Daphnia pulex: one gene and its partner. The protein of the gene in region 1 purifies or fractionates together with the protein of each later gene. This does not show direct contact. Links are inferred from orthologs where the notes say so. Each region holds a gene or a part of one and is shown on either strand. Other genes may lie near its edges.

What was found.
Region 2: the proteins of mediator of RNA polymerase II transcription subunit 19-like (region 1) and DNA-directed RNA polymerase II subunit RPB2 purify together in Homo sapiens (affinity purification with mass spectrometry; 4 studies listed by BioGRID and IntAct, with this or other methods). This does not show direct contact. The link is inferred for Daphnia pulex from reciprocal best matches to the Homo sapiens genes MED19 and POLR2B.

The regions. Positions count from the first base shown.
Region 1 is NC_060023.1:10,279,889-10,283,386, forward strand, and holds mediator of RNA polymerase II transcription subunit 19-like, read left to right. Parts: upstream 1-1,750; 5' UTR 1,751-1,967; coding exon 1,968-2,172; intron 2,173-2,213; coding exon 2,214-2,485; intron 2,486-2,550; coding exon 2,551-2,895; 3' UTR 2,896-2,978; downstream 2,979-3,498. Other genes in the region: GTP:AMP phosphotransferase AK3, mitochondrial-like, read left to right, coding at 1-48, 123-156; required for excision 1-B domain-containing protein-like, read right to left, coding at 421-597, 659-857, 924-1,009; MAP kinase-activating death domain protein-like, read right to left, coding at 3,361-3,447. UniProt on the Homo sapiens protein: Component of the Mediator complex, a coactivator involved in the regulated transcription of nearly all RNA polymerase II-dependent genes.
Region 2 is NC_060022.1:1,080,709-1,085,294, forward strand, and holds the start of DNA-directed RNA polymerase II subunit RPB2, read left to right. Parts: upstream 1-1,701; 5' UTR 1,702-1,852; coding exon 1,853-1,871; intron 1,872-1,935; coding exon 1,936-3,421; intron 3,422-3,492; coding exon 3,493-4,039; intron 4,040-4,116; coding exon 4,117-4,578; intron 4,579-4,586. Other genes in the region: kunitz-type protease inhibitor 1-like, read left to right, coding at 981-1,038, 1,132-1,433. UniProt on the Homo sapiens protein: Catalytic core component of RNA polymerase II (Pol II), a DNA-dependent RNA polymerase which synthesizes mRNA precursors and many functional non-coding RNAs using the four ribonucleoside triphosphates as substrates.

The sequences.
Region 1 (3,498 bases):
GTTATTTAAGGGGAGATTTACAAATGAAATTTGGCCTAAAGTGCATGGGTATGTCTTATAGGCTTAGAAATATTTTTACATTGTTAAAGAATACTGTTTAAAAGATGTCTTTTGTATTGCAGATTTCTGTCAGAAAGCATTCCTAAATCTAATTGAATGCTGCATGCTGCCTTATGATCTTCCTGCATTACTTGGTGATACTCATCAGAAGAATATGTGGAATGAGGTTTAGAGAACTTTGCATTTTAACATTCCTCTTATTAGTTTTGAAACTTAACTTGCCAAGAATTTAAATATGTTAAATAGAAAACTAAGAATGCAACATTTAGTTAGAAGCATTATGATGCTGTATTTCTTTAGATTGTCAACAGGTTAATGCAAATATGGGAAGAGAATAATCTTCAGTGATGAAAATAAAAATTACATCAGATCAGCCAATTGGTAACAAACAGCTTCCATGTTTTGATTGATCTTGTCTTGAACCACAGCCAATTCTTTCTTCAAGTGATGCACTTCACGCATGAGAATGTCATTTTCAGCATCCTCAATATGTTGCATGTCTTGCAACTCTTGTTTAGCCAATTGCAATCGAGCCATCTAAACAGAAAATCAACAAGTTTAATAAATCTTTAAATCTTAATCTTTAATAATTTTTTACCAGTTCCAGCTGCCTTTTCTCATAATCCTGCACTTTGATAACATGCAATGTCAGTTCAGGCTGCATGTTTCTCAATTGGCACTCAATTTTAATTATTTCTTCTGAGATTCGCTTAAAGTCTTGAGTTATGTCTTGAACAAGTGTACGAAACTGGATAAAGTCATAATTTGGTCCAGTGCTCAGATAAATCTTATGCCCTCTGGAAAGAAACAATACATGCAAAAATTACCTCATGTGAAATTTTTTAAATAACATTGTAACTCACTCATGAAAAATCTTGTAGGTGTGGACCCTTTCCTCTTGCAATTGCTGGAATTTCCTCAAAAGGCCATAAGCTGTGACTCCATCCATGTTGAGAATTATAATTTTACTAACGTGTAACGAACAAAACGGAATGAACGATCTAGGTAAAGAAAAGATACGAATTGTATTGTATATTTAAAAGGAAATAAGCCTAGGTTATACAAATAATTACCTTTGGAGAAACAGAGTTCTTATTATCACGGTTGCGAAGGTAGGTTTTCTATCCTCGTAACATCACGACTTGTGGTTCCAGAATAAAGAGGACGACTATATTTTAAGGGTGACGACCCGGTCCTTTCATCAACGCCCCTAGGGTCAATTCTGAGACAGACAAAAAAAGGGCTGGGTTACTGGGTTGGAAAAGCTGAGTCTGGCCTTTAAAAAACCCTCTACAATACACTAGGGAGTATGAGATAAGGATTTTTTAAAAAACAGCCTCTGCCTTCAGCCAGTTTTCTGACTTTTCTTGAGACTATTGAAGGACGCCGAACTCGAATTCGAAAGTTGAATTCGACCTCTGGCTAGATAGATATTTTTTGATAACATGAATAATAAAATATACATCAACAGTTTGATACTATTACCAGACGGAAATTGAAAAAAATTGTGATTAAACTCACCATTAAATCACACGAGGCGGACACAAAACTATCTACCCTAGCAACTGCCACTGAGTCTAAACCTCGTGTGACTTTTTGACTTTTGAAAGCGTGCTCTCGCCAACTTGGCCAATTCAAGTCCTCGGGCAAAAATATTTGCATAGAGGAGCATCTAGTTATATCTTTTGGGTACAGGTGGCGCTGGTGTTTCGTTATGCTTTTTCGCTGCTGTGTTTACTCTGTCAATTGTCATTTTTGGCATCCAACATTTGCCTGAATAATTTATTAATATCTATAATTACTACGATATATCGGATTCGACCAAGGTCAGTCTAGTCGGATACGGAGATTTTACAAGCGATGACCTCATACTAACGAGTAAAAAGGGTAAAAGTTTTTGACAAAAAATGTCGGAATCATTCACCATCCAAGTGGCCGATTCTCTTCGGAGATTTGAGCCGAATTCTCCAAGATCTTCTCCAAGAGGAAATCGAAGCCCAGTTGTTCCCAGGCAACAAGATTCCACTGGAACACTGAAAACCACCATATCACTTGGAAAGACCCCAACAATTGTTCATACCGGACCATTTTATCTTCACAAGGAACTGCCAGGTATACATATTTTACGTGACTGTATCATTCTTTCACTCAAGGTAAATCTATCGCAGGAGATACTGACCTAACCGGAGCAACAAATTTAATGGCTCACTACAATTTGGAACATTCATACAACAAATTCAGTGGCAAAAAGTTCAAAGATTCGCTATCTTCATTCTTACCTGGATTACCCGGCATGATTGATACTCCTGGTAACACAGACAATTCATCCTTAAGATCCATCATTGAAAAACCTCCAATCGGTGGCAAGGAGTTGGTATTCTTGAATTCCTCTCAACTTGCAGGATTCCGTCTTCATCCAGGACCAGTAAGAGACTTTTAGACAGCAAATCACATAATTGTTATTTTAATTTTCACATCTTTATTTCATAGTTGCCTGAGCAGTATCAAACCTCTTCCCTGGCCCCACTGAAGAAAAAACAGAAACACAAGAAACACAAAAAGAGTAGCGAGATCTCAATTCAAGAAACTGGAGCTGGAATCGCTGGACCGGGCATTGGAGTAGTAGGAGAGGGAGGAGCCGGTTCGGGCGGTGAATCCTACGAAAAAAAGCATAAGAAACAAAAGCGACACGAAGATGAGAAAGATCGCAAGAAGAAGAAGAAGGAGAAGAAGAAAAAGAAACAGAAGCACAGTCCAGAACACCCAGGAGCATCAGCCTCAATCGGTACTACAAATTCAAACAGTAACCCACCTGGAATGATGCCCTTACTTTGAGAAACCTTCTTGTCACGTCGATTTATTTCGAATTTTTTCTGCTTCTTTCGAGAGTATAAATAAAATTCCATTCAATGAGTGAATTTTGGTTTATTATTATTCATTCTTTCAAATATTTTCTTCTAAATCGGAGTTTGAAAGCTATAGCGTTGGCTTGCCCGAAAACAATGATAAGCACGTCACGATAGCTACACGCAAGTCACAATCGCTCAAATGATATGATCAATAGGGTAAAACAACTTTATATTCATTAATTACAAATACTAACAGTGAATGTTCGAACGCAAATTTGTCAACTGCTGTTGGTTCAAATTTCTTGATGAACCGTACCATGACTAGATAATTATTATTGCGACGACTCGTACGACAAAACGAACGAGTAATCATTTAAGTACAACAACTAAAAGTAACAAGCGAATCAAGTGATGTCCGGTGTGTGTTGCTTGGTCGATTGATGATGAGCTTTCAAGTCGGCTCAACCTTTTTACGCTGTTCGCTTCCGGCGGCCACGTAAGAAAACACGCAGAGAACAGCGTAACAAATCTGATCCGCCTGTTTTGTTTAAAAGAACAAAAAAAGGTTGATTAATATAATAACAAATGA
Region 2 (4,586 bases), on another chromosome or scaffold:
GTTTGCCTATTGCCTCCAGTTGCTGATTCTACACAAAACTGCAATAACTACTCCGTCAAGTACTATTTCGATCCGGTCGATGGCGACTGCGAAGATTTCCTTTATTCCGGATGCGGCGCCACTGAAAATGTTTTCAACTCCGAATTGGCCTGCGAACTCCGCTGCGAAAATGTCCACGATCAATTGAACAGTCACGAGAGCATCGAGGTCTTCGGGCGCTATTGGGATTAATTGCAACGCACATCTTTTTTCATGCTCTGTTTCAATCGTGCAATAATTTTTTTTCAGTTTGATGTGTTTGTTGAATTTCAATCCAGGTTATACTGTACCAACTTATTATTGTTGACATTTTTCTCAATCCGCAGTTATCTTTTTTTGTTAACTTCCCATGTAATCCGATATAAATACAGTTGAAGTTTGATTAGAATACATTTTTTCAGTTTTAATATAATCAAGTTGGTTTACAATTAAAATTTAATTTAATTCAATAAATGAATCAAATCAATATAAATTATACAAATAAAACGGAAAACATAAAATTCGAAGCCAATTCGAATTCTCTCTATAATTCCGAGCTTATGTTTAAGTAAGTACATTTGAAATTCTGATATAAAGAGCCCGGAGCTAAATAAATAATTGTGCAATCATGTCGTGCATATATTTTTCAAAGGAAGACAATGATCAAGATGATGAACTGTACAAACCGGTTATCGATATGTGTGTGTTTAATTCTTTTGCGATGCGCGCTTTTCTCTTTTCTCTTCCTTTAGGGGTGAATGATTAAGCGGTTATTTTTATTTTGGTTACATCGCGAAAGGTCAAATTCATGTTTTTTCCAGCTATAATGCCCGATTGCAGGGCTGTAATTATCTCTAGCGGGACTATAAGTACCAGCCGGTCGACTCCTTCCTTCTTCAGTCGAAAGCAGAAGAAGGTTTTTCCCATTTGCTCCATTCAACTCCATAAACTTCAACCGGAAAATGTCGGCTACGTTCGTCGTTATGCTCTGCCTCGTCGCTTTCTCCTCTGCTGCTCCTCGTAAGTGATTTTTTAAATCTAAAATTTTAGTTTTATGTAACATGGGCTTTTTCAAGCAATGCTCTTTTACGATTTATGAATATATTTGAATAGAATTGGCGGTCCCAGTACCGGTATTTGCTCAACGACCATTGGATCCGGTTTGTCTCTTGCCACCACTCAACCCCAAAGTGCGTTGCAATCAATTTTCCATCAAGTGGTACTACGACTCTGCTACCAGGGATTGTGAAAAGATTTTCTACACTGGCTGTGGAGGATCTGAAAATCTATTCGCCAGCGAAGACCTTTGCGAATTGCGCTGTGATCAAGATAATTTCGACAGCTACGAGAGCGTTGAGGACTTCCAGCAATATCCCTCGTTGCAGAAATTCAGATATTTCGTTCTTGGCAAGTAATCAATTGATGTAAAATGCTTTTCTCTAGCACAACGTTGTTATTCTTTTATTTTAAAAAGTAATTTAAAGAATTGTTCTTACATTGATCACATGGATTGTCTTTCAATGTAATCTATATTATTCAGTTAAAATTAATTTTGAATACACTTCTTATTTACTCACACAATACGAGTTGTTTCGTGTTTTAAAGAAAATATTTTTTTACCGACTTTTAAATAAACCGGCGAAATTAAAATATATCCGGCAACGCCACCTTGCGTCTCATTTTCGATTTGGCCGGCAGATGTCGAAATTGAGTTTTTCCGACAAGTGCGACAACAGTGAACGAAAGTCGACTGCCGGCTGCAAAGGCCAACGAATCTTTACATTGCAGTCGTTTTCTAATTCATAATTAATTTGTCGATTCGTATAATAACACAATGTACGATCAAGACGAAGGTAACATCAAAATATGATGATATTCATACATTTTTTTCTCATTCTAACGTGTCTTTTACTTAAGATCCGATCGAGGATGAAGATGGCGAGGAAATCTCTTCAGAGCTTTGGCAAGAAGCCTGTTGGATTGTCATCAACGCATATTTCGATGAAAAAGGTCTTGTGCGACAACAGCTTGATTCGTTTGATGAATTTATTCAGATGTCTGTACAAAGAATTGTTGAAGATTCACCTGCCATTGACCTTCAGGCAGAAGCCCAGCATTCTTCGGGGGAAGTAGAAAACCCTCCGAGATATGTCCTAAAATTTGAGCAGATTTACCTCTCGAAACCTACACATTGGGAGAAAGATGGTGCTCCGACAGCCATGATGCCTAATGAAGCAAGACTAAGAAATCTCACCTACTCTGCCCCGTTGTATGTTGATATCACGAAAACTGTGCACAAAGAAGGGGAAGAGCAGGTCGAGACACAGCATCAGAAAACATTCATTGGCAAAATTCCTATCATGTTGAGATCCACTTATTGCCTGCTGAATGGAATGAATGATCGTGATTTGTGTGAATTGAATGAATGCCCTCTCGATCCTGGTGGATATTTTATCATCAACGGCTCAGAAAAAGTATTGATTGCTCAAGAGAAGATGGCCACAAATACAGTGTATGTCTTCAGCATGAAGGACGGCAAATTCGCTTACAAGACAGAAATTCGTTCCTGCTTGGAACACTCGTCACGTCCAACCTCCACCTTGTACGTCAACATGTTGGCACGTGGTGGTCAGGGCATCAAGAAATCCGCCATCGGCCAGCGTATCATTGCCATTCTGCCCTACATTAAGCAAGAAATTCCCATTATGATTGTGTTCCGAGCCTTAGGTTTCGTGGCCGATCGAGATATTCTCGAGCACATCATCTACGACTTTGAAGACCCCGAAATGATGGAAATGGTGAAACCTTCGCTGGACGAAGCCTTCGTCATCCAGGAGCAGAATGTTGCCTTGAATTTCATCGGTGCTCGCGGTGCCAGGCCTGGTGTCACCAAAGAGAAGCGTATCAAGTACGCCCGTGAGATTCTCCAAAAGGAAATGTTGCCTCACGTTGGTGTGTCCGACTTTTGCGAGACGAAGAAAGCCTATTTCCTCGGCTACATGGTCCATCGCTTGCTGCTGGCTGCCTTGGGACGCCGTGAGCTGGACGATCGTGATCACTACGGCAACAAACGTCTGGATCTCGCCGGACCGTTGATGGCTTTCCTCTTCCGAGCCCTTTTCAAAACTCTCATGAAAGAAGTCCGAATGTACGCACAGAAATTCATCGATCGAGGAAAAGATTTCAATTTGGAACTGGCCATTAAGACCCGCATCATCACCGACGGACTCCGTTACTCGTTGGCCACAGGAAATTGGGGAGACCAGAAAAAAGCCCATCAGGCCCGCGCTGGTGTCTCTCAGGTGTTGAACCGATTGACTTTCGCTTCGACCTTGTCACATTTGCGTCGCCTCAATTCGCCCATTGGTCGTGACGGTAAACTGGCCAAACCTCGTCAGCTCCAGTAAGTCATTGATTTCAAATTATTTTCATCGGCTTTTGTTTATTACATAACATTTTTTAAAACTATTTTAGCAACACGCTGTGGGGAATGGTTTGTCCAGCCGAAACGCCCGAAGGAGCTGCTGTCGGTCTCGTCAAGAATTTGGCTTTGATGGCCTACATTTCAGTCGGTTCCCAACCGTCGCCCATCCTCGAGTTTTTGGAAGAGTGGTCCATGGAGAACTTGGAAGAAATCGCTCCGTCTGCCATTGCGGATGCCACCAAGATTTTCGTCAACGGTTGCTGGGTGGGTATCCATCGCGACCCGGAGCAGTTGATGGCCACCCTGCGCAAACTGCGTCGTCAGATGGACATTATCGTGTCTGAAGTATCGATGGTGCGCGACATCCAGGACCGTGAAATTCGAATTTACACGGACGCCGGCCGTATTTGTCGTCCATTGTTGATCGTCGAGAACTGCAAATTGTTGCTGAAGAAGCGCCACGTTGACATGCTCAAACAGCGCGAGTACATCAATTTCAGCTGGCAGGAACTGGTGGCCACTGGTGTAGTCGAGTACATTGACACTTTGGAGGAGGAGACGGCCATGATTGCCATGTCGCCCGAGGACTTGCGCCAGGTAAATTTTCTGCATTGATTTTTTCTTTCCCTACCCCACCCCATCCAGCCGTTGAATGTTTTGCTTTGTTTATCCAGGGTAAAGACGCCTACTGTACGACGTACACGCATTGCGAGATTCATCCGGCCATGATTTTGGGAGTTTGCGCCTCGATTATTCCGTTTCCCGATCACAACCAGTCGCCTCGTAACACTTACCAAAGCGCCATGGGTAAACAAGCCATGGGAGTGTACATTACTAACTTCCACGTCCGGATGGACACTCTGGCCCACGTCCTGCAGTACCCTCAGAAACCTTTGGTCACGACACGCTCCATGGAGTACCTGCGCTTCAGAGAGTTGCCCGCCGGCATCAATTCGATTGTTGCCATTCTCAGCTACACCGGATACAACCAGGAGGATTCCGTCATCATAAACGCTTCCGCCGTCGAACGAGGATTCTTCCGCTCCGTCTTTTTCCGATCCTACAAAGATCAAGAGTCTAAACGATCGGCCGATCAGGAGGAAACGTTCGAGAAGCCTTTCCGCGATCATTGCCAGGTAACCGA